2 linked regions of the Xenopus tropicalis genome follow. The protein of the gene in region 2 interacts with the protein of the main gene of each other region in a pairwise test. Links are inferred from orthologs where the notes say so. Each region holds a gene or a part of one and is shown on either strand. Other genes may lie near its edges. The genes, in order: flnc and myoz1.

Evidence for each region.
Region 1: the proteins of myoz1 (region 2) and flnc interact in a two-hybrid assay, tested with the Homo sapiens proteins (2 studies listed by BioGRID and IntAct). The link is inferred for Xenopus tropicalis from reciprocal best matches to the Homo sapiens genes MYOZ1 and FLNC.

The regions. Positions count from the first base shown.
Region 1 is NC_030679.2:87,429,372-87,441,737, reverse strand, and holds the start of flnc (filamin-C), read right to left. Parts: upstream 6,889-12,366; 5' UTR 6,310-6,888; coding exon 5,958-6,309; intron 1-5,957.
Region 2 is NC_030683.2:44,123,438-44,135,018, forward strand, and holds part of myoz1 (myozenin-1), read right to left. Parts: intron 7,588-11,581; coding exon 7,397-7,587; intron 1-7,396. UniProt on the Homo sapiens protein: Myozenins may serve as intracellular binding proteins involved in linking Z-disk proteins such as alpha-actinin, gamma-filamin, TCAP/telethonin, LDB3/ZASP and localizing calcineurin signaling to the sarcomere.

The sequences.
Region 1 (12,366 bases), on a different chromosome or scaffold from region 2:
AACTGTATATTTATATATATTTTGAAAGTATCAATAGAATGTACATGCTATCTGCCATCTTCATTATCTTTTCATAGCCTGTCTATATGAAGAACTATTGCTCCCACCCCAACTGAGGCATGCACTCCAATTAACCTTCAGAGACTGTCGCCTCCCCTCATTAAGCCCCCAAAACATTGTGCACCACACTGTACCCACACAATTTTATGTATATTTAATATTTTAACCTAATTTATTCACAGTAGATATATTTTTCTCCTGATTTTTTTGGCAGTGGTGCTTTTTCATGATAGCAGAACAGTGCGCTTGAAGAGCGCACAATGTCACTGACTCTCAGTATAGAAGTACTAGTAATATAGTAATAGGAACAGGGACCTTACAATGTAAGCTCCACTGGGGCAGGGACTAATGTGAATGATAAACAATATTTAAAAAGTGAAACATAAATGCATTGGCTTTGTATATAAATAATCAATAATACAAAATAAAATCTATATTTCTTGTGCAAAATCCTTATTCCTTATTTATAAAAGTATGTACACTTACATTTATGTATGTATAAACCCATGCATAATAATATAGAGCAGAAAGATAATTGTAGCGAGAGAAATGTGTAGTTTGTTGTTTGCGCTGCGATGAATGAATTCCTACTACTGTGTGCTATCTGGCAGCACATTAATGGCAAGAACTTTTGTTGTACTGCTTTTCTCAGCAGCAGAGAGTTCCAGCTGCTTTGTGTTACAGAAGGAGTTGCAGATGGAGCAAACTTCATGTAGGCATTTTCAGATGGCTCTCTCTGTTTACATGGATTATTATGATATCTTTTGCCATTGATATAAGAACAGCCATGCTGTGATGTCAAAACAAAGTCAGCTCCATCTATACCTATAAGGTTCCATGGAACCTTAAAAACCAATTAGCAGGCAGAATTTACTGGTCACCTGTTTAAAAGCAAACTACTGGTTGCTAATGGTTACTGCTCCTGGGCAAACTTAGTGCCTTTTACCACATGGGGAGGAGTTGTTTAATATTCCTATAAGTGGGCATTTACCTTTTGGTAACATCATTCCTGCAATACCCTATTGCCAAAACATTATCAATGCTAGATCACAAGTTGGCTGCAAAACTCATATTTGCGTACAAAAAGCTGTGGCATAAATGGCTGTCCTCTTAATGCCCAAGTTCTTATTTTTTTTTTTTATGTACAGCTATAATTTATAAACCATGCTTAACAAAATAATAAACATATTATTTATAGTCACTCAGTAAATGGGGGAAAAAACAAGGTTCCTTCTGGTTTGCATTAGCAGTTCAGTTTGATTCTCACCATTGCCTCAAGTGCTGGACTATCTCATAGCAGGTGTGATACAAATTTCACATAACTTTGAAACTGTAATTAAATTAAAGTTGTGAGAACATTTAATGTACAGCTATATAAGTTAAGTCCAGTATTAATCATCCTCGGTTCCACCCAACCCGAGGGGAAGCAGGACTGCATGCAATAAAACCTCTGCAGATCTCTGTCTTTGGCAGGGTGCAAGCAGGGGTGACATCCCTGAAGAAATCCTATTGCGCTCCACAGATTTATCCCTTTTCTGGGAATGGGTCAGGGGTGTGGGAATAGGATTTCCACATCAAAGGCTGATCACTGCAGTACAGTGTGTACAGCAGGGCAAGATGGTATCAGTAGCACTTTATATCAGAGCTCTCTACCCTACAGCCTCCAGCTGTATTGAAACGGCAACTTCTATTGTCTGCAACTATGGGATTTTATGACAAAAGCTGTTATGTGTTTATCCTGTGTGTATTCACTGGTGTAACTATAGACTGAGGAAGCAGACCCTGTGGTTGCAGGGGGGCCTGTGGGAGAGGGGGGCCTTGGGGGACTAATTAAAGTTATTATAAATCCTCCTCCCCAGCCACGTTCCTACCTGGCGTGGCACAAATGGGTGGGGAGTGTGGGACACCAGCAGGTAGGCAGGTAATGTGGGGTAGAGGTTGCTGTGCACGCCAGGCTACTCCAAAGTTTTTTTTGTAGAGGATGCACGGCACATTGTAGTTACCACTGTGTGTGACGAAACGAGACACCACTCTGTCCATGGGTGTTTCACATTGTATTTGCATGGCTGATTTATGAATATATAGTGATAAATTTCACAAGTGCATTTACCCATAGCAACCAATCAGATCTTTGCTTTGATTTTCTAACTTGTAGTGGCCTGTTCAAAGCTAATTGCTGACTGATTGCTACCTGCAACTGTACTTAAAGGAACAGTAACACCAAAAAATGTATATATTTCAAAGAAATTAAACTATACTGTACTGCTGCCCTGCACTGGTAAAAGTTTTGTGTTTGCTTCAGAAACATTACTAGAGTTTATATAAACCCTGGTGTGTAGCCATGGGGGCAGCCATTAAAAAGTAGAAAAGGCACAGGTTATATAGCAGCTAACAGATAAACCCTGTAGAATACAATGGTGTCTTATCCGTTATCTGCTTTGTAACCTGTGCCTTTTCTCCTTTTTTCCAGCTTCAATGGCTGCCCCAATGGATACACAGCAGCTTATTTATATAAACTATAGTAGTGTTCCTGAAGCAAACACCCCAGTTTTACCAGTGCAGGGCAACAGTACATTATATTTCAATTACTTTAAAACACTTTCATTTTTTGGTGTTACTGTTCCTTTAAGCAGTGCTGTGCTTTTAGTTTTTGTGCATTATACTGTATGGGAACATATGGGTTTATTGATTTTCCTCTGCCCTTTCGTTCAGTACCTACAGGAGTAGAGTCCAAGACTAAACAGAAAAACTTGGCCTTGACCCACAGGGCAGACTGAGATCACTTAACACTTGAATTACCATGTGGTGGAATGCATAAAAATGCTCTGCACCAGAAACACAAGTTAAAGCAAACATGAAAAGAAGCCTTAGATTACATTTTTTAAATAAACTAATGCTTGTTTCCTATTCCTTTCCTTATCAATTCTTAATCATCTGAACTGACCCTAATAAACATGCTTGGGTTTGAATAACCAGCTGTAAGATAAAATAACAGAGGAATTACAAAAAGTCTAAAAAAATGTTACATTTTAGGCTATAAGCAATCAGATATAAAGTTAAATAATTTAAAAATACAAAATGTTACACAGACTATAGGATACTGAAATATCATTGCAATTGCTCCTTTCTATTACACAACACGCAGATGTAAATTAAAATCTTGCTGTTGTGAACTGCATCTCCCATAAGTCACACAGGAAGTGTAGAAGTTATGATTGCACCCAGGGCTTGGGACTTAATACTATAACTTAAGTTATTTCCAGCCACTTCTCTGTGTTTTTTTCTGTAAATATGGCCAGACCAAAGGATGTGGAGAAATACATGACTGCCCTTAGTAAAAACAACTAAAAAATTATATACAGTGGTATACAGGTAGTTAACTGAAAATGCTAAAATGATAATCTAGTTTTCTCTGGTACATTAGGCACTGCCAATTAATATACTATATGGGGTTTAACTTAGTATAAAAATCAATCCATGCACTAAGCTTGCTTTAAAATATTATTCGGCCTATTTTGTCTTGTGATAACACATCAATTTTTTTTTTATTTAGAACAGCAGGTGACTGCAGAGCCATATATTTCATTCAACTTCCGTTATTCAGCCATGCCAATAAAGTATGTGTTATCAGGTTTAATTTGGTATGGTCTCATTGCGACCTTTGTAAGAAGACTCCACTGTTACTTAATATACAGATGAGATAATTTTCCCTGTCAATGACCCTTCTTTTCACATTAGAGAATCTTTTTTTAAAAACAAGATTTCTCTAAAAGGTCATCTAAAGGGACAGTAATGTGTGAAACAAGTTGTTCTCATGCACAAGAACAAGTACTGTTAAGTACCATTGGCTGCTATAATTGTTTATGAAGTTATTCATTTTATAAGCTCCAAAGCTGGAAGGTCTGCCAACCTATGGGAGCCTCTAGCAGTGACTTGGACAAGCTTGGACCTACTTGCTGTCTTGAATACTCTTGAGCCTATAACAGGGTGCATACTGTGCTTTTAAATGCATGAAGACAAATAGTTATATGAAGTCAGACTCAATAATGGTCCAGAGAAATCAGGAGGGCTTGAGTGAAAAAAGTTTCAAACACCCCTGCTAAAGATGTGCTTCTTTTATACAGAAAAAGAGCTCTTACCATAATAAGCCTACGTATATATTACTGTCCTATTTGGGAGAAATCATAGCTTTTTTTATTATACCCACTGAAAGTGTTTTTAGATATTCTGTGTGTAGTTAATCAATACTGAGAATTTTTTTACTTGTGAAATAATTTATGGTAGGCATACACTACTCAACTACAGAATTCGATGCACATTAACATTCTGAAGTTTGAAATTAAGACCCCCTATAGTTGTATCTTCAACCAAAACCATTTCTGTTCCAAAGAATATTCCATCAAGGCAGACATTATAGGTGCACAAAGTATGCCGGGTCACCAGGCAATTGAATGAAATCAGGGTCTCAAGTAAAAGATTTCCACATCAGAGGCTGATCACTAAACCCCTATACTTCAAGCCTGCACCATTTTGCTCAGCTTTGTTCCCCATGCTAGTGAACCCACCGAGAAGCATTTTGAGCTAGCATGGATTTGTGTGCAGGCAAACTTCTTCTGTTAGTACACAAAAGCCATGAATTTCTGCCTTGTATTTTTGTATGGTCATGGAACTCCTTGATGACTTGTAATAGCATTATATTTAACAACAGGGGTTTATATATATATATATACCTGTATATATATTTGCTTGTTAAAGTTTTGGTTCAGCACTTACTGTAAGTGAAATAATGTATTCAATGAGCTGGATCAATAGGAAAAAAAAACATTCTCCAGATGTTGCTCCATATTCTTGAATACATTATCTCATTTCATGGTAAAGCTTATAAGTGCTGACTTGTGCTTTTATTGTTCTATACACTATGCTTTTATTTAGGACACAGGGCTCTGTGGTTATTTCTAAAATCTTTATAAGTTTTATCAGGAGGTATATTGTCCTGTTTGAAAAAACAAACAGAATGAAAACTTTCCTCCATTGCATGAACTCTCTACTATGTGAGCATAGTGCCATTTAAAAACCCCCTCTTCTGCTGTCATCATGAGCCGCTCACAGTTTCACTTAAGAGTGGTGCTTCAAGGTTACAGGTTACAGCACTGACTCTGTAAGAATGCTGCACACTCTTGTAGTAATTCATTAGTTACTGCTGAATACAACTACATGTTCCACTGACTTTAAATTACAGATAAAGAAAAATTATAAAATTATTTCTGTAGTTTATATTAATTATTATTAATTAATATCCTGTAAATTACATGCTTATAAACAGTGTCTTATAGATTATGCTTATAGACAGTGACATTATCAGTTATAATTGGTGCTTAGTGATGTAATTTGTGTCACATGACTCACTGAAACTTGTGTATTATAAAAAAGAATATACCCCCTGTAGAAGAAGTCACCCATCTATATATATATAGTCATGGAACTCTTTATTGACATCTAATATGCTTCTATTTTACAGTAGGGGGTTACACTATTCCCTATATAAAGAGCTAATTCTGAGATCAAAAAGTAAATGTCTGGAGTGTATTACACATGAGCTACAGTGTGGGAGGGCCCCCATATCTGACTTACAGATAGCTAATAAAGTCCTTAGTGGCCCCCAACTTCATTCTTAAACGTTACAAAGTCGTTAGCTCAGGCAGTTCTGCCCTAAGTACCTCACAAGGTATTATACTAAATTACCTCCGGGAGCAGAACTTTGATGCTATAGCTAGATAGACAAAATCAAATCAATCATATAAAAGTAAAATACATTTGCCATGCATCACCTTAGCACGTGTGATATATATTTACTTATACCTGCCCACCCTTGTGTTAGAAACCCCCCAAGAACTGACCTATAGACACCAGCTTGATGTGCTCCCGATCCAGGAATTCCAGAGCCACTGACACGTTCTCCAGTTTCATCTGCCGAAAGTTGGGTCTGGAATGGTACTTTCTGTACATCTTCTTCTGACTGAGCACCTCCAGCAGGCCTATGAGCTTCAGGCCATCACTCAGGTCCTTCTGCAGGTCCCCAATGCGCTTGTTCATGCACTTGAGATGCTCATTACACCACCTGGTGAAGGTGTTCTGCTGGATCTTCTTCCAAGGGGCATCTTCTGCCAAGTCCTTCTCTGTAGCGGGCATCTCCTCTGCCTCTTCGCCCTGGTAAAACTGCTGCTGGTCGTAATAATCGTTGCTGCTCATGATGACTTTGGTTCGGGAGCTTTTCGCTTTTTATATGGGGGATCAACTAACGAAGCAAAAAAGGGTGGAGAAAATCACAGCAAAAGTGAGCAGGCAACTGCTGGATCCAAACCCCAAAATCTGTGAAATCAAGTTCAAGCTGCTGGAACTGACCTCAACAATCAAATTAGTTCCCTTATTATTTGTCCTTCGCTTGGAAACAGTGAGATGTTTTTTGGCTACGGTTCGATTAACCCTTGCAGGGGCTTCCTCAGTCCCCTGTGTCCTGGCTCTGAGCTGCGAGGGAGGAGAGAGTTTGCCCAAATTCCCTTCGCAATGATCCTTTTTCTTCCTGTCTTCTGTTTCCTTTCTGTGAGTCCTTTTTGGGGGTGACTGGGAGGGGGCACGGGATAAAAATGCAGCAGGTCAGGTCTGTTGTTTGTGTTAGAGAGGGAGATGGAAACAGGAATGAAAGAGATAAAGCAGAGAGGCAGCTCAGTCCTGGGGCTTCAGATCCCACAGCAGAAAGGAGGGAAGAGAGAGAGATAGAGGTGAGTCTGCAGGTCTTTGGCAACTTGTGTGAAAGTTCGGAGTCCTGGATGGAGTTGGTTTTAAAGAAAACCGATGCCCCCACCCTCTTTGGGCTCCTCTCCCCCTCCCACCCCCCACGTCAGAGGCATGGACTCCCTGGAATGCTTTTGCTATGACCATATACAACTAAGATGAGTATTTTCCTAATCCCCAGTGAGATAGTGAGCAGGGGCACGATTGGGTGCTATGGATAGCGGGGGCTCGGATTGGCTTAGGCTGCCCATGCTCTCACTGCTTGTAACATCTCTGTATTTTTAGACACCTCATGTCAGGGAGGTCTGGCTGTGAGGGGAAGGGGAGAGGGGGTAGAAGGAAGGGATCTTACAACACAAGTTAACAAAAGCAACAGATGTAATGCAAGGGGAGACCACCACCCTCACCCACCTAATCAATCATCTTCTACCCCCCAAAAAAGATAACTTCTGCATTAACTCATTCGGTAGACAGCAGGGCTAACCCTCTGACAGACACGCAGAAGTGCACAGGAAACCTTGTTGCAATGAGAAAATCAGCAAACTCAGCCTCTAGGCTTTTAGCCTGCAGGAATAAAAAGAATGGCTCTGGGTGATTATGAATCACCCATACCACATGTCACCATAACCACAGACATATTTCTTATATCAATTTATACAAACTCAACAGAAAAAAAATATAGATAAATATATGTGTGTAAAGGTGGCCATACACGGTAAGATCTGCTCGTTTGGCGAGGTCGCCAAGTGAGCATATCTTCTCCCAATATGCCCACCTACAGGTGGGCAATATTGGGCTAATTCAATCGTTTGGCCCTAGGGCATAGGTGCCGTCAGTTCGGGCACGGCATCAACTAGCCAATGTGGTCCTTGATCCAATGGGAAAATCAAACCCATTCAGGCCAGATGTCGGGCAGGGAGGCCTGTAGGTGGTGCCCATACACGAGCAGATAAGCTGCCTAATCAGTCTAAAGGACCACTATTGGCAGCTGAAATCAGCCTGTGTATGGCCACCTTTAGTAGCAGGAAAAGTATCCTTAACCACATGTAAGATACCGCTTCGGGAAAATATAAACTATGGTATAACGTTACTATAGGAATCCCTGCAAAAACTAACATTTAAATTGAAACAGGAGTAATTGGGGAAACTATTCTGCTTTTCCATTCTTCCAAGGATGTTGCATGTTCTCCTCACGTGTGTGTGGGTTGATTGGAGGCTAATTGGCTCCCAATAAAATTGACCATGGTGTGTGCTGTGGTGTAACTTTACTTTCTAGGGCCTTCCTGCAAATATATTTCAGGCCCCCACAACATCACATTAATGTGCCCTCAATCATCAGGCCTGGATTTGTGGGCAGGCTACAAAGGGCCAAGCAGGGGCGGGCCCTAGGCAGCTGCCTCTTCTGCCTACACCTAGTTCCGGCCTTGGGCCCAAGCCTAGGGTGGCATGGTGCCTGCTGGCTGCATCTGTACTGGAGACTGGATGGAAATTTTTTACAGCTGTTTGCATCTCCTGCCCACCCCAGTCCCTAGTGCAGCCAATCAGTAAAGGAGATGGTGCAGGGGAGGGTACACGTACAGGGGGGCAGGAGGGCAGAGGAGAGTGTGAGTGTTCAGGGGTCAGGGGTGCAAGTGGCCTAGGGGCACACCATGTGCAAATCAGGCCCTGTCATTTGTATGTATTGGCTAGTGTAGATGCAAGCATTATTGAGCCCTCCACTGTGGCTGGGTGTGCTAAGATGTTAAAGGTGAAGCAGGGGCGGTCCAAGCCGACCAGGCGCCCTAGGCAACCCAGTCGGCCACCTCGCCCCTTCCTCATTCGCCCCCCCCCCTTTGGCGTGCAGTTGAACACCTGGGGGGGGCGGGGTTGGCTTTGCGATTCGATGGATCATTGCCCCCACTGCCTAAGGACAAGCGGCGGGGGCAATGACTAAAGAGAGCGGACTAGGGGTAGGCAGGAGAGGCTGCCTTGCGCCCCCAATCACTGCGCCCTAGGCAGCTGCCTCTTCTGCCTACCCCCAGTTCCGTCCCTGAGGTGTAGTTCACCTGTATCTTAAATTTTAGCATAATGTGGGTAGTGTGTAACTATAACTTTGAAACCGCACAGAGAAATTTTTTTGGCTGCCAGGGTCAGTGACCCCCATTTGAGAGCTGGAATGAAAATAGTAAAAGTTAACTTAATCATGAACTACCCCTTTGAAGTGATGGGTCACCTTTAAGATAACTTTTAGTATGTTATAGAATGGTCGATTTTAAGCAACTTTTCAACTGATTTTCATTATTTATTTTGTATAATTTTTGAATTATTTGCCTTAATTATTTGCATAACTCTTGGCAGCTTTCAACTGGGGGTCACTGACCCCAGCAGCCAAAATAACATTGCTTTGTGGAGCTACAGTTTTACTGTTATTGTTATTTTTTTAGAACTTATTTTTATATCCAGCTCCTTATTTATATACCTGTCTCTCATTCAAACCACTCCCTGGTTGCTAAGGTAATTTGGACCCTAGCAACCAGATAGCTGCTGAAACCAATTTGGGGTACTGCTGAACAAAAAATGAAATAACTAAAAAACTGCAAGTAATAAAAAATTAATACCAGTTGCAATGTGCCTCAAAATATTACTCCCTATATCATACTACTCCCTACATCATACTAAAAGCTAATTCAAAGGTGCACAACTCCTTTAAACAGGACCTGTCACCCACACATAACAAACTGTAATACAAATCCTTTCAAAAATAAACATGAAACCAAAATTCTTTTTTTAATTAAATCATCCATACCTATTATAAATGTATTTAAAAATCAGACTCAGGCATCAGGCATAGAGGCGGGACAGGCAATATATTATTGACAGCTCAGATTTTTAATTACAATTACTTCTTAGATATCACCTAGATGGCAAGTGTATAAGATTTTGGGGTGATACAAAGCTTACCTTAATAACAGGGTTCACAAAATGGCGGCTGACAATAAACTATAAGTTCCATGCAGGATGCTGCCACTTTGCAGAGTGATTTAACAAAATTGGAAAAACTGGGCAGCAAACTGGAAAATGAGGTTCAATGTGGACAAGTGCAAAGTTATGCACTTTTGTAGACATAGTATAAACGCAAACTATCTACTGAATGGTAGTTTGTTGGGGGTATCCTTAATGGAGAAGGATTTTTGTAGATAACAAGTTGTCTATTTCCAGGCAGTGTCATTCTGTGGCTACTAAAGCAAATAAAGCGCTGTCTTGTATAAAAAAGGGCATTGACTCAAGGGATGAAAACATAATTTTGCCTCTTTATAGGTCCCTGGTAAGGCCTCACCTTGAGTATGCAGTGCAGTTTTGGGCTCCAGTCCTTAAGATGTGCAACTAAACTGGTAAAGGGGATGGAAGATTTAAGCTATGAGGTTAGACTGTCGAGGTTGGGGTTGTTTTCTCTGGAAAAGAGGCACTTGCGAGGGGACATGATTACTCTGTACATTAGAGTGGATTATAGGCAGATAGGGGATGTTCTTTTTCCCCAACGCACCAGAGGCCACTCCTTTAGATTAGAGGAACTGAGTTTCCATTTGAAGCAGCGTAGGTGGTTTTTCACGGTGAGGGCAGTGAGATTGTGGAATGCCCTTCCTAGAGATGTGGTAATGGCAGATTCTGTTAATGCCTTTAAGAAGGGCCTGGATGAGTTCTTGTACAAGCATAGTATCCAAGGCTATTGTAATACTAATATCTACAGTTAGTATTAATGGTTGTATATATAGTTTATGTATGTGATAGTATAGATTGGTAAGTATAGGTTGTATGTGCTGGGTTTACTTGGAAGGGTTGAACTTGATGACTATATAAGAATATGCTGAAATCATCAGAAATTTGGGTTTTCTAAGTCTGATCTTTGCACAGGTTTGTGGAAGTCTTTCATGGCTCCAACCCGGGTGATTTATGAAGACTTCATAAAAATAGTTATTGATGCTGTAAATAGTTTGGACTCAACCAGTCCACTGTCAGACAGATTGTTTACAAATAGAGGCAACTTAAAACCTTTGTTACCCTCCCAAGGAGTGTTTGATATCACCAACAGCAAGGTTCTTCCAGGAGATCTTGGAGAACCCGGGCTAATATCCAAATAACTAAAGCCCTCTCTTGCATTGGCAAATGTCAGTGTTCTTGAGTCTGCAAGCAGTGCACAACGTTTGAGTCATGTGGATTTGCCCCATACTTTCTCAGGTGCTATGAAGCCTGTGGATGGATAGGGCCAAAACAAAATTTTTGGCTTGCTTAAAAAGTGTTGTTTGGCAAACACTGCATTCCGGCATGATAACCTTATCCTATCTGTGAAATAAGTTGATGGCGATATCATGTTTGGGCTTGCTTTGTTGTCTCTGTTGTACTAGGGCGGCTTGCCATCATGTATGGAGCTATAAATTCTGACTTGTACCAGCAAATTCTCTGGAAAAATGTCAGGGTATCTGTCCATGAACTGGAGATAAAAATAAAGGGGCTTTGTAGGTGCAGGTCTGGTGCAAAAGCTGCAATGGGCCATTATTGAAATGAAATAGGACTACCCAATCTGTAGCCAGGTATTAGTCTATAAATACATCCTGCTTGGATTGGGCAAATGGAGTTTGTCCTGAACCTGCTTGTCACCCACAAAGGATGTGTTGATGCCTGCCCTAACCCACCCAACTTGTAGGTTTTGGGTGAGCCTGCACATCACTAGATTATACATTTTAGCCCAAAAATAACAATAATCCAAATCCATTTCTAAATTCTGCTTAGTGCATCATATGTTTGCTCCTCCTTATCTTGTGGACTATATATATATATGTGTGATGTACTTTTGCTATGAGATGCATGAGAGTCAGAGCAATGAGTCACAGTGAGTGAGTGAATCACAGCCTAAGGGAAGGAAGGAGTTAACCCTGATCACTGTCTAGGAATGCTTTGCATCTGCTACCAAGGGAATTGGGATCTCCACAGGGCTTCCACCAGTAGCATTAGTATATTTGGAAACAGAGGCCTTTAACAAAATGTCAAGTCCCAGTTGAATAAGAAAGCTACATTAAAATGACTAGTTATGAGGTCTGAAACAGTACATGTTCTATGATTGTTTCTGTTCAGAATAAAGAATGGGAGTAGAAAGCGATCCATTCAGCCTTATATGATTCTAATTTTTATTGTAGGTTGAGGACCTGGACACTGCTTCATGTGTTTGCCAGATATTTTGGGGCACATTCACTAAAGGGGGAATTGTCTTTTTCTGGTGACAATTCACCAAAAAAAGACAATTTGCAGTGCATTCGCGATTTACCAAAGGGAGAAGTAGACTTTTCGCTAGTAAAAAATTTTCGCCAAGACGAAGAAGCCAAAAATACGGTAATTCAGAAATTTTCTATTTGTTCCCCTTTTCTGCTGGTTCTGACTTGTGAATTGATGAAACTAGATCCGCAAAGTGACTGTATCAGTGATATAAAATCCTGCATTCCTGTACCTTCTGTATTGTTAATGACACATGCTGACTGCCAT
Region 2 (11,581 bases):
TACCCTGCTAAAATGGAACTAATAAAGAGTTGTTTTTCTGTATTCTTGTGTGTAGTTGTCTGACTGGATGGTTTGTTGTCATCAGTGGGCTGTAACACTAAAAGGTGCTAATTGATCAGCACAAAATTGTCATCACTAGAGATTGTTGCTGGACATACTGAAACACCACAGGAACCCTATAATTTATATAGTTAGGGATTTCAGTCTTTTTGGGTATAAAGTGCCCAACTTGTATGCAGGAGTCCTGTAGACATTAACTGAAAAAATTTTAACCTGAAAAAATGTTATCCCTATTTTTCTGTAAATGCATAGCCCTAGTACCAGGGATCATGGGGCTCCATACTACTTAGTTAGTAGGACTCTCCTCTCTAGGGGTCCTCAGTCCTCTCTTCACCTGGGCCCTCAGAGTGGTGGGGCCTACTAAGGAGAACAGGGCTTTAATAAAGGAAATAGCCAACTAAATTACACTAAATTACACTTGCCATGTCGCCAATCTGCCTCAGCACACTCCATTATGCCCAGAACATGCACACCATCCACTCAAACCTTACCCACTCCTCAGCAAGTCCTGTCCCTTCTCAACCTGTGAATTAGACCTTTGCATCTTTCTGCATCCCCAATTGTCATGGAGTCCCTGACTGGAATGTTACTGGAGTGGCCCTACTTTTTTGCAATCACCTATTATGAAATCTGTTTTGTATGTTCCCCTGTAATCCGTTATCACCTTCATTTTGTATTGTAAATTGGCTTTTTTAATGCAATATTTATCCCTATTATTATGATGAGTGGTTAAATTAATGATATTTATGGGGACATGAAGGCAAACCCTGCAATTTCTGTAGCTACACCCCTGCCCTCTATGTAGAAAAGATAAATAAAGCAACATTTAGTAAAATGCAAACCAATTTTCAATACTGACCAATAATGTATCTATAAAATTATGATTCCACCAAGTATGAGAGATGCCAAATACAGGTTTTCGTAAAGTAAAGACAAAGACTACATCACTCATCACTCTGTGAATGGCATTTCATATGTACAGAGCAGAGAGCTGGCCATCACCATCAAACATGACAGCTCACTTACCTCTGAGGGTGTTGTACATAGGATGTTTTGTCCAAAGATACCTTTTCATTGATGTCAGTGTGAATCACTGCCAATAAAACATTTGTATTGTAGGAGAATGCAATTTCCAGAGGCATCTCCAAGGTGTTCAGTTACCCGATCTATAGGAGATTTAGCTTGGGCAAAACGTCCTGTGGTCCATTCCCTAAAACAGTGATCCCCAACCAGTGGCTTGTGAGCAACATGTTGCTTGCCAACCCTTTGGATGTTGGTCCCAGTGGCCTCAAAGCAGGTGCTTATTTTTGAATTTCTGGTTAAGAGGCAAGCTTTGATTGCATAAAAACCAGTGTAATTGCCAAACAGAGCCTTCTGTAGGCTTCCAGTCAACATAGGGACCATCAAATAGCCAATTATAGCTCTCATTGGCACCTCCAGGAACTTTTGTCATGCTTGTGTTGCTCTACAAAGCTTTTTCCATTTGAATGTTGTTCACGGGTTTAAAATTTGGGGGATTCCTGCACTAAAAGGACAACTAAGGACCCAAAAAAATTTCTGTATTGTGTGATGTTTATATACATCAGGCTGCTGTTTCCATGTAAAGCTATAATATACAGTAAAGTTGTACTTCTATGTCACCCACAATGTCTACTATCAAGAATCACTTGCCTTACTAATTGTTTACCCCTGCATTTGGAGCAAGGGGGCCTTTCCTTTAAGTACAGGACTCCCCTTCACTCAAAAGTGGTGAACACGGATAAGTTGACACAATTCATAGGCGGATTTTCCATAAGGCTAGGGTAGGCTAAGCCTCCCCAAACCTGCTTGGCACATTAAAAAAAAACAAAACAAAAAAAAAAAACCTTACTCCGTTTCTGCACTGTCCTGGAAATCTGTTCTTGCAAGCCCGTTTTGCTGTGCTCCGATTGGATCTTTCTTCTTGTGGATTGTCCAATCAGAGCACAGCTTTCTTGACAGACAGTAAAATTAACCAATCAGAGCACAGATGCACACAGGGATCGGGAGATTTTGCACACTGGAAGCAGTACAGAACTGAAGACTGAAAAGAAGAATCTGCAGGCTGTAACTTTACCTAAGAACCAGCTTTTGCTGCAGTTTTCATCCCACAGGTACTATACACAGGTACTATACAGTTCTAAAGAATCACTAGCTGACATTAAATTGTTTTTTGCCTGACCTGACATCTATAATAATTTATAATCTATCACCTACCCTAACAGATGGAGGGTAAAAAAAAGTTAACTCTTTCCCCTGCAAAAGCTCATTGTGTGTTTATATATTTGTTGTTGTTTTTTGCACTTACTATTTTTTTTTGTCATTGTTTTTTTTATTTCTAGTTAGTTACAGTGGGGACAGTGCTGTGTATCAGTGCCAGTGTTATAGTGCCAGGGCCTGAATATCTGCCATTTGTACCCACTGTGTCTCACTGTATATAATGTGCTGGTTTTGTATATAAAGACTGCGTCTCACTGTATATAATGGGGAGTCAGTACTCAGTACCCTTTCTTGCTATAAAACTAACATAAACACATCTAAAGGGGTGGTTTACTTTTAAGTTAACCTTTAGTATGTTATAGAATTACCTATTCCTAGCAACTTTGCAATTGGTCTTCCTAATGAATTTTTTTGAATAATTTGCCTCTCTTCTGCCTCTTTCCAGATTTCAAATGGGGGCCAAACAATATTGCTCTGTGAGGCTACAATTTTATTATTATTATTATTATTATAATTTTGTATTACTTATTTTTCCAAGTAGGCCCCTTAACTATTCATATTCCCATCTCTTGTTTAAACCACTACCTGGTTGCTAGGGTAAATAAGACCCTAGCAACCAGATAGCTGCTGAAATACCAAATGGAGAGCTGCTGAACAAAAAGCTAAATAACTGAAAAACCATTAAAAATAAAAGTGAATTTGAATGCGAACTACCCCTTTAAGCTAACTGATCACAAACACAAATGTTTGCAGATCCCCTCACAGAACTGCACGTATGAATACTTTTACATCCTAAACATTTTAGGGTAAAAAAAAAGCACCCCCCGCACTTTTGTACAGTATCCCTGGGAGTCAGTGGGAACGGCAAGAGGTAGTTGGGAGGTTAATTTTTTACACCAGCAGTGAATCCACTAAGTGTCACATTAGCTGTAGGTCAGCCTGTGTATGGGCCATCTTTAGCCTCCCCAAACAAAAAAGTCACCCTCCACCTATGACACAATTGAAAAGGTAGGGTTTCTTAAGGTGTGTACAGTAGAGATGACTGAACAGCAGAGCCTCCAGGAGATGCTACTCAGGGACGTTTTTACAATGCATTGGGTATTATAACCCCCACCAGCAAAGAATTATTTGTGCAGACTGGGCAGATGTCAGTGTAATCCTACATTGAAAGATTATTTCATTCTGTCTGTTTTACTCACTAGATCATATCACTAAATATGTTTCCACTGACTTCTGAGATATCTTTTGAGGTCTAAACAGAGATCTGATTGCTTTGCCCCAGGTAGGCAAGTCCTACTGTTCTAGTAACCCATAGCAACCAATCAGCAGGTAGTATTTACTGGTCAGCTATTTAAAAACAAATATCTTAGTGGTTGCTATGAGCTTTTTAATTACCCCCAGAGGCAGGCCAAGCCAACCAGGCGCCCTAGGCAACCCAGGCGGCACTTCACTCCCACCACTGCTTCCCCCGCAGCCCTGCCCGCGCAGGAACATGCACATGCTTGTCATTCGGGGAAGGGGGGAGTGGAGGAAATCAGCAGTGGGGGTAAGAGATCCTGGCACCACAGAGTCATTTTTTGCACATGCTCAGTAGAGTGAAAAAGTAAACTTGAAGAAAAAGCCCTGCTTTATTACTCTACTGCACATTTTCTGGCCAGGGCCCGTGTTGCCCATCCAGAAGTACCCCGTGCTGGTGCAGTTTTCTGCTAACAGGAGACTGGTCTGGGGTATCAGGTAAGTGATTAATCCCTTGCAGACAGCTTATCTTCTCTAGTTTGTGTGGCCCCATGCTTTTTCTCCTGTTTTCTAAACCTCATGTCAGCATTTTGACATGTATGCTGCTATCTTGTTGCTATGCTTACTGACCGCTGCAACCAGACATTTGCTTGAATGAAGAATGAACAGGAGAGTGTTCAAACAATAAGCAATAAAAATAACAAATAAAACCCATCACCATGATAATTCTGCTGCCTGTTTTTCACAGTCACTGATACTGACATCCATGTAGCATAATCAGTTACAGGATGGAGATTGAAAGAACAAATGCAAATAATAAAAAAAATACAAAAATTAAAATAAAGACCTACAGCGATTCCATCTATCTGCAACATGCAAGTTAATTCTCCCTAATATTATCTCAGTGAATGTATATTTAGACCAGCCCATATCATTCTCATCGGCTTATTATATTTTCACCAGTAAATTGCAAGAAATCATAATTTCTGTTCCCAGCAAATTCATTTAGTCATAATGATATCATAGATCTCACTAAAGTTAATATGTTAGTACTTTGATGGCATGGAAAGAAAAGGCTGAATATCTTCCGGCCCCCGGGTTATCTAAAGCAAGTGATTGAGGCCAGCACATGTGTTTCTATTTCCAATATCCTGAAAGGGAGCTCCCTGACTTGCAGCCTCTAGTTATGTTGCTTTATTCTTAGACAACTTCCAAACTCAGCTCTCTGTTCATGTCCATGTCCCTGCCTCCTGGGAATATAGTAGACGCAATTAGTCAACTTAAAGGGGCAGTATACCCGCTTCTTCAACATTCGTTCCCAAAGGGAAGTGGTCTAGTCCTGTTGTCCTTCCCCTTTCAGTCACTTCTGTCTATAATGAATGTATTTTTATGCAGTAGGACAGTGGGAAGCCCATTATCCCAATTCATACTGGAATATTGCTCAGTAGCCGGTAACAAGAATGATTTTCATTAAGAACTATCTCTGACATCATCATTTACCTTTGAGCAGCAAATTTTGCCACAGATCTCCAAAAACAAAGCGACTCAAAAGCTCAGGAGAAAAACAAACAAAGAAATCATGTACTGCAGTATTTTTTCAGTTATACAGTATAGGGTTGATTCACTAAAGTGCGATAACGCATATCGCATTTTTTTTGCGTTAAAATCGACGCGAAAAAAACGTGCAATTCACTAAAGTATTATTGCATGCGTTAAGTTGCAAATCATGTGCGTTAAATAGCGTGCAACTGCATGCGTTAATTGTACCGCATTGTGTTAATTAGCGCGCAGAAATAATACTAACACATGATTCACAAACACTTAGGCGCGCTAAATATCGCATTAGTCTGTGTGAAAACACCTACTTGGGGCAGGCGGTAATTATAGAAAAGTACAGTTAATGAGCTTTTGGCAATAAAATATGGACTTTGCAGTGGGATTTATTCAAGTATGTGTTGGCCCTAGAGTGATGTAGCCTCCAGTTTGCAGGGAAATGGTCATTTTCAAAAAAAGTAGTTTTACGAACGTAATGCTGTGTATGGCTAATATGGCGTGCACACGAAAAGTAGCGCACGTGCATTAATTAGCGCACGTGACAAGTAGCGCATGTTGTGTCAAATAACGTACGAAAATAGTCTTCACAACTTAAATAACGCAAACAGCATTGCATCTAAATTAACGCAATATCCTTTTAGTGAATCGTGGGTTAAGACGTGAAAAATTAGACGCGATAAAATTTTTAACACATGCTATAAATAGCGCTCATTTTAACGCACTTTAGTGAATCAGCCCTTAAGTGTCTTGTGTGTCTAGGGTTGCCCCCTGCCCAGCTTTGACCCGGACAGTCTAGTTTTTGGTAGTGCTGTCCAGGTCAAAACTTCATGCCCGGTGTTTAAAACTATGGAAACTGGGAAGGGCTCTCTTAGACTGACCTGGCGATTGGTCAATTGACAATCGCCACATCATAACCGCCGACCCTGATGTAATCAACCACGCCTCTATAATAACCTGTCCCACCTACATGATGCCCTGCCCCACCTCCCACCTTGTTTTTCTACACTCCGAAGGTGGAAACCCTATGTGTGACAAGCAAGAGAAACTTAGAATACACCCTTAGGGCATTTCAGGTTCAGCTTCCCACTTCACAAGATAGTACAACACTATCTTGTGCAGTGATCCCCAACCAGTGGCCTCAAAGCAGGTGTTCATTTTTACATTTCCATTTGGAGGCAAGTTTTAGAAGCACAGAGACACAGTTTTACTCCAAGCAGAGGCATCTGTAGACTAGTAGTCCATGTGGGCCTACTAAATAGCCAATCACAGCCCTTATTTTGCATCCTTAAGGAACTTTTGTCATGCTTTTGTGGCTCACCAACACTTTTTACATCTGGGTGTGGCTCATGAGTAAAAAGGTTTAGGGATCTCTGCCCAGAGTATAAGGGGTCTCACCATGCTACAATTTGATAAAAGATGGGTAGTTCCAAAACACTTGATAAAATCAAGCCTTAATAATATAACCCCTGTCTCCCACATGTCCAGACTATAGGACAGTAAGAGCATTTATTGTGAAAATTTGTATTTATTTATTTATTTATAACAGAATTCTAAATAAAGTTGCACTCACATTTGTATGAATGTTTAAAAAGCTTTTCCTATGCCTGTCATGTTCAATGTCACCACCACACGTGGCAGTGGATTCTGTAATGCCACAACGGGTTGATGTCCCAACCTGATGTGTTTTGCCTGACAACTTTCTCAGAGGTTTACATTCTTGTTGTGCATGTTCTGAATATTTATAGTGTGGATCTGCTCTATCTTTTGCCATGGGAACACCTTGCATAACTGCTATGAAAACCTGCCTAACATTTGATTTCACTCTGTATTCTAAGATATCATACAAATAGTATCCAAATAATACTATAATAACAGTTATCCTTAATTAAAACCTTTTTTTCTAGATTTCCATTTTAAATAAATACCATTTAAGTAACTCATTCAGAAAGCAACATCTGGCACTTCACTGCTCAGTTCTATCACTCTTCTTGGAGCAATAAAAATAAGCAAATGAAGCATAGGGAGATGCCTCCTACATTAGTAACTTAACTATTGGGAGCCAGCTGGCCAGCTGGACTATGCATCAGGGGGTATTTGTGGCGAAAATTCATGATATTAGCAGTATAAAATCATTAATTTCACGAAAGCCCAAAGAAAAAAATAATGTAAATTGCAAAAGTGCATTCTTTGGGGGTGGTTAGCTCCCTTTAAAACATAGCTAGTTTGAAGGAATCATTTAGTACAGCTAAAAATGTTGAATAAACCAAAATCAGATGAACAAATCTTACAGAATATTTATTCTTCTTACCAAGGAATTGTCGGAAAATACGTCAGGGTTGTTTTCATAGATAAATTTTTCTACCCTCTTTTGACGAAGCTTAAACATCTTCGATCCTTTGTTACTGAGCAAGGATAGTTCCTCCAGCATGATATCTCTGGGAACACTGATCTTTTTCCCTAAATTGAGTTTGGAGATTTCTATCTCTCCTTCTCTTGATGCTACAAAAAAGAACATGATCAACATTTTGATAGTTTATACTACAATATTTTGAATCTGTAATAAATAAACAATACAGGTATGGCATCCCTTATTCAGTAACCTGTTATCCAGAAAGCTTTGAATTACGGGAAGGCCATCTCTCATAGAGTGCATTTTAAAGGAGAAGGAAAGGCTAATAAAGAGTTAATCTCAAGCTGCAGGCATACCTTCAGTTGTCTCAATAGTGCCCTTAGGTCTCCCCATATTTTTCCCGTTCAGATGATCAGAAGCCAAACAGGAAGAAAAAACGCTGAGCTGTGTAAAGAAAGTTCCCATAATGCCTCGCTCCTGCACCAAGAGCAAGACTGGTGTACATGCTCAGTGTGTAAGACTATGGGGCTGATTTACTAATCCACGAACGCTCCGAAGGCGTCCGAATGCGTTTTTTTCGTAATGATCGGTATTTTGCGATTTTTTTCGTAAATTGTCGCAACTTAGTGTGTAAGACTATGGGGCTGATTTACTAATCCACGAACGGTCCGAAGGCGTCCGAATGCGTTTTTTTCGTAATGATCGGTATTTTGCGATTTTTTTCCATAAATTGTTGCAACTTTTTCGTAGCCGTTACGACTGTTTCGCAAAAAGTTGCGACTTTTTCGTAGCGTTACGACTTGCGCGAATTGTCACGACTTTTTCGTAGCCTTCGCGCCGAGTATGAAAGTTTCGGATTCATTCAAGCTTCAGTATCGTGACTTTTCTTGGGCCAGGTTGGAGCTGCAGAGTGCCATTGAGTCCTATGGGAGGCTTTTACGAGCGCTCAATACGAAAAAGTCGCTTCAAGATACAAGCAAATCGTAACGGCTATGAAAAAGTCACGACAATTCGCGCAAGTCGTAATGGTTACGAAAAAGTCGCAACAATTTACGAAAAAGTCGTAACGGCGACGAAAAATTCGCAAAATGTTAGTTTTCCAATCGGAATTTTTCCCATTCGGATTCGGATTCGTGGGTTAGTAAATCAGCCCCTATGACTCAGCTTCCTGCTGATTGGCTCAGATCCACATTCCTAAGGGGAGGGAGTGAGTTCTTAGCATTCTTGTGGGAGAGGGAGCAGGAGAGGGGAGAGAGCTGCATGTCTCTAGCAGAGGAAAACAGACACAAGAAATCTTTTGACAGAGAAGTCAGTGCAGCGTTTCTGTGTGTGCTTATGGCTGCATTTACATAGACCTTTCTGATAAAACTTACTTAGTTTTTACCTTGATGATCCCCTTTTTCCTTGTAATAATAAAACAGTACCTTGTATTTGTTTCCAACTAAGCTGCATAAATAAATGCATATTGGTGGCAAATCAATCCTGCTGGGGTTTAATTTAATATTTAGATGCTTTTTGTAGACTTAAGGTTGTATCTATAGGAGATGCAAATTACAGAATAAACCTGTATCCGGAACACCCCAAGTCCAAATTATTCCATATAATAGATCCTATACCCTTGCCATGTGCCAGACATACTTGATTCCTCAGATTGAAACCATTATGGTCTGCCTCTGATCTGAAGTGACCTTTTCCCCACCCCTTAGGATGCCACAGTCATTCAACCCCTCCCTTACTTGGGTGTCCTTCTGCTTTCTAAAAATGTCCAAATAATAGTGAACAGAAGGAGTGTTTTCAGCAAGTTACGCTAAGGAGCCATGAGTGGGCAGGATTATTACATTCCATGGGGAAGGGTTAAGTGGAAGGGGTATTAGAGAGGGCAGAAGACGTGGTCCCAACCTGCTTAGAGAAATGTAAGCTAGAGGAGTCAAGGTTGGTGGTACAACCAGATTCTCTGCAAAGCAAAGGGCTGGACATGATCACTTTAAAATTGAACAAATTGAGGGATAATGTTGGGAGGGAAATTGTCCACCCAAGTCAGAGGCAGACCATCATGATTTCCTTTCAGTCTCAGAAATTATTTATGTTTGTATTAAAACGACAATTTAAATCCATGTTTCACATTAAAAAACACATGATCTTTTTCATTTTTATTTTGGAAAGAGGTTTATTTTTTAATGCAGCACATGGATTTCCATATTTCCCCCTTAAAAAAATGTATGTTCTTTTTGTCAATTCAGGTAGTTAGAGATGGGAGATGCTCATGGGGGGGAACTGCAACCCGTGACTCCGGAAATTTTTCGCTGAAATCCAGAAGTGATGTCACCGTGCATGTACACGCACTCTTCTGACGCAACTGACCAATTCCTGCGCATGTGCACAGGCCCCAATGATGTCACTGTATGCTTATTGTGCATGCATCGGCTGAATTCACAGGAGAGACTAAAAAACCTGGGGGTAAAATGAGGTACGGTGACAGGAGGTTGGGGGAGGGCTTACAAATGTAATGTAAATTTGTGATGTGTCTGGATAATGTCTCTGCCACTATTTTGTGTAAGCTTAGTGCATTAGAGGGGTATTTTATCACTTTAAGCTATGGTCGTACAAGTTATGGAAAGACCCAGGTCCATACATGTATATTGTTGTTAAAAGTTTCAATACAGACTATTAGGAAACCTAAGAAGTTTCATTTTCTTTGGAGGGATTCATTTACAGCCATGCCCAACTGGCCTCAGGTGTGAATCCTGTCACACTGACCCATGCACTCTTCTGGCATCTTGTTGTTCCTTATAACACAATAGGAGGACTGTGGGTCCACAGAAATACTAGGGTGGAAGGAAAAGGTAAAGAATATGCTGCTTAACCTGCAAAGATGTACATGACCCATTAATACACACAGTGCTGTATAGCAGAATGCAAAGCATGCCATGGGATTCTAGTCAGTTTCCTGAAATCTTTGTTTATTATAATTTTTTGGAATATTTTTTTAATTCATTATTTATATTACCATTTAAAAGAAGGGTGAACTTACAGAAGCAGATCTACGGGTAAAATTAAGCAACAAAAACAATGTTACTGCACAAAAGCAACCATGCATAAAACAGTTCATATGTAAAACCCTGCTTCATCTAAATAAACCATTTTGCATACAAATATTGGTTAATGCTAAATAAAAAATGCCATTTTAAATATTAAAATGGCCACCCTCAGGGATCATCCGATTCACGGTGCATACAAACAAATCAAGGGCACACATACATTTAAGGTCGCATAAACCAATTCATGGACAGTTCTGTCTTTTACTTCCCACACTTCCTCCTGTTACAGTTAGAGCTGCACTATTTCCTGTCAGGTGATCTCTAAAGGAAGCACACAGACACAAAATGGTGGCTCAAGGTAAAAGATGTAAAAGGGCAATATTTAATATTTATATTCCAATTTGGTATGATTCTTTAATAGGCCGCTTGATATGATATAAAATATCTGTTGGTTTAGTATTCATTCTGGGGATATAGCTTTCCTTTAAGTCTCTTTGAGAGCAGGAAAGCACAGGAACAGCAAAACTTGCTGTTCGTGTGCTTTCCTGCTCTCAAAGAGACTTTTTGTTTTGGTTTTGTAATGCTTCAGGTAAACAGGTGATTTGCAAAGAGACAGCCTTGCCTACATTCAAGAATCAATGCAACATGGATAAAGGTTCATCTTCTAACGCAGACAAGCATGTTGTATTGAGTATCAATCCCCTTTGTTAGCACATGCAATTTATTTATGCCAGCTGTTGTCATTAAAGGGAATATACATGTTATTTATAATGTTAATTTCTTTTTCCTCAGTTCTCTATATATGTGTGCTATCTTGTCTTTTCACAGTTTCCTTTTGCTCACATTCTGTGAGATGCCTGGGTGGCACATTAATAATGCACACCACAGAATAATTAGATTTTGCAGTAAATGTAGAATAAACATAGGCACACAGAAATAGTTCTTGATGGGCCTACTCTTTTGTATAGGACAGGAACTAGGGGTAGACAGAAGAGGCATGTGCCTAGGGTGCCACAGTAGATGGGTGCCAGGCATGTACCTCTGCTGCCTCCCTATCCCTCTTTCCGGCCTGTCTTTAATTCTGGAGTAGTATCCATGGTGGGTA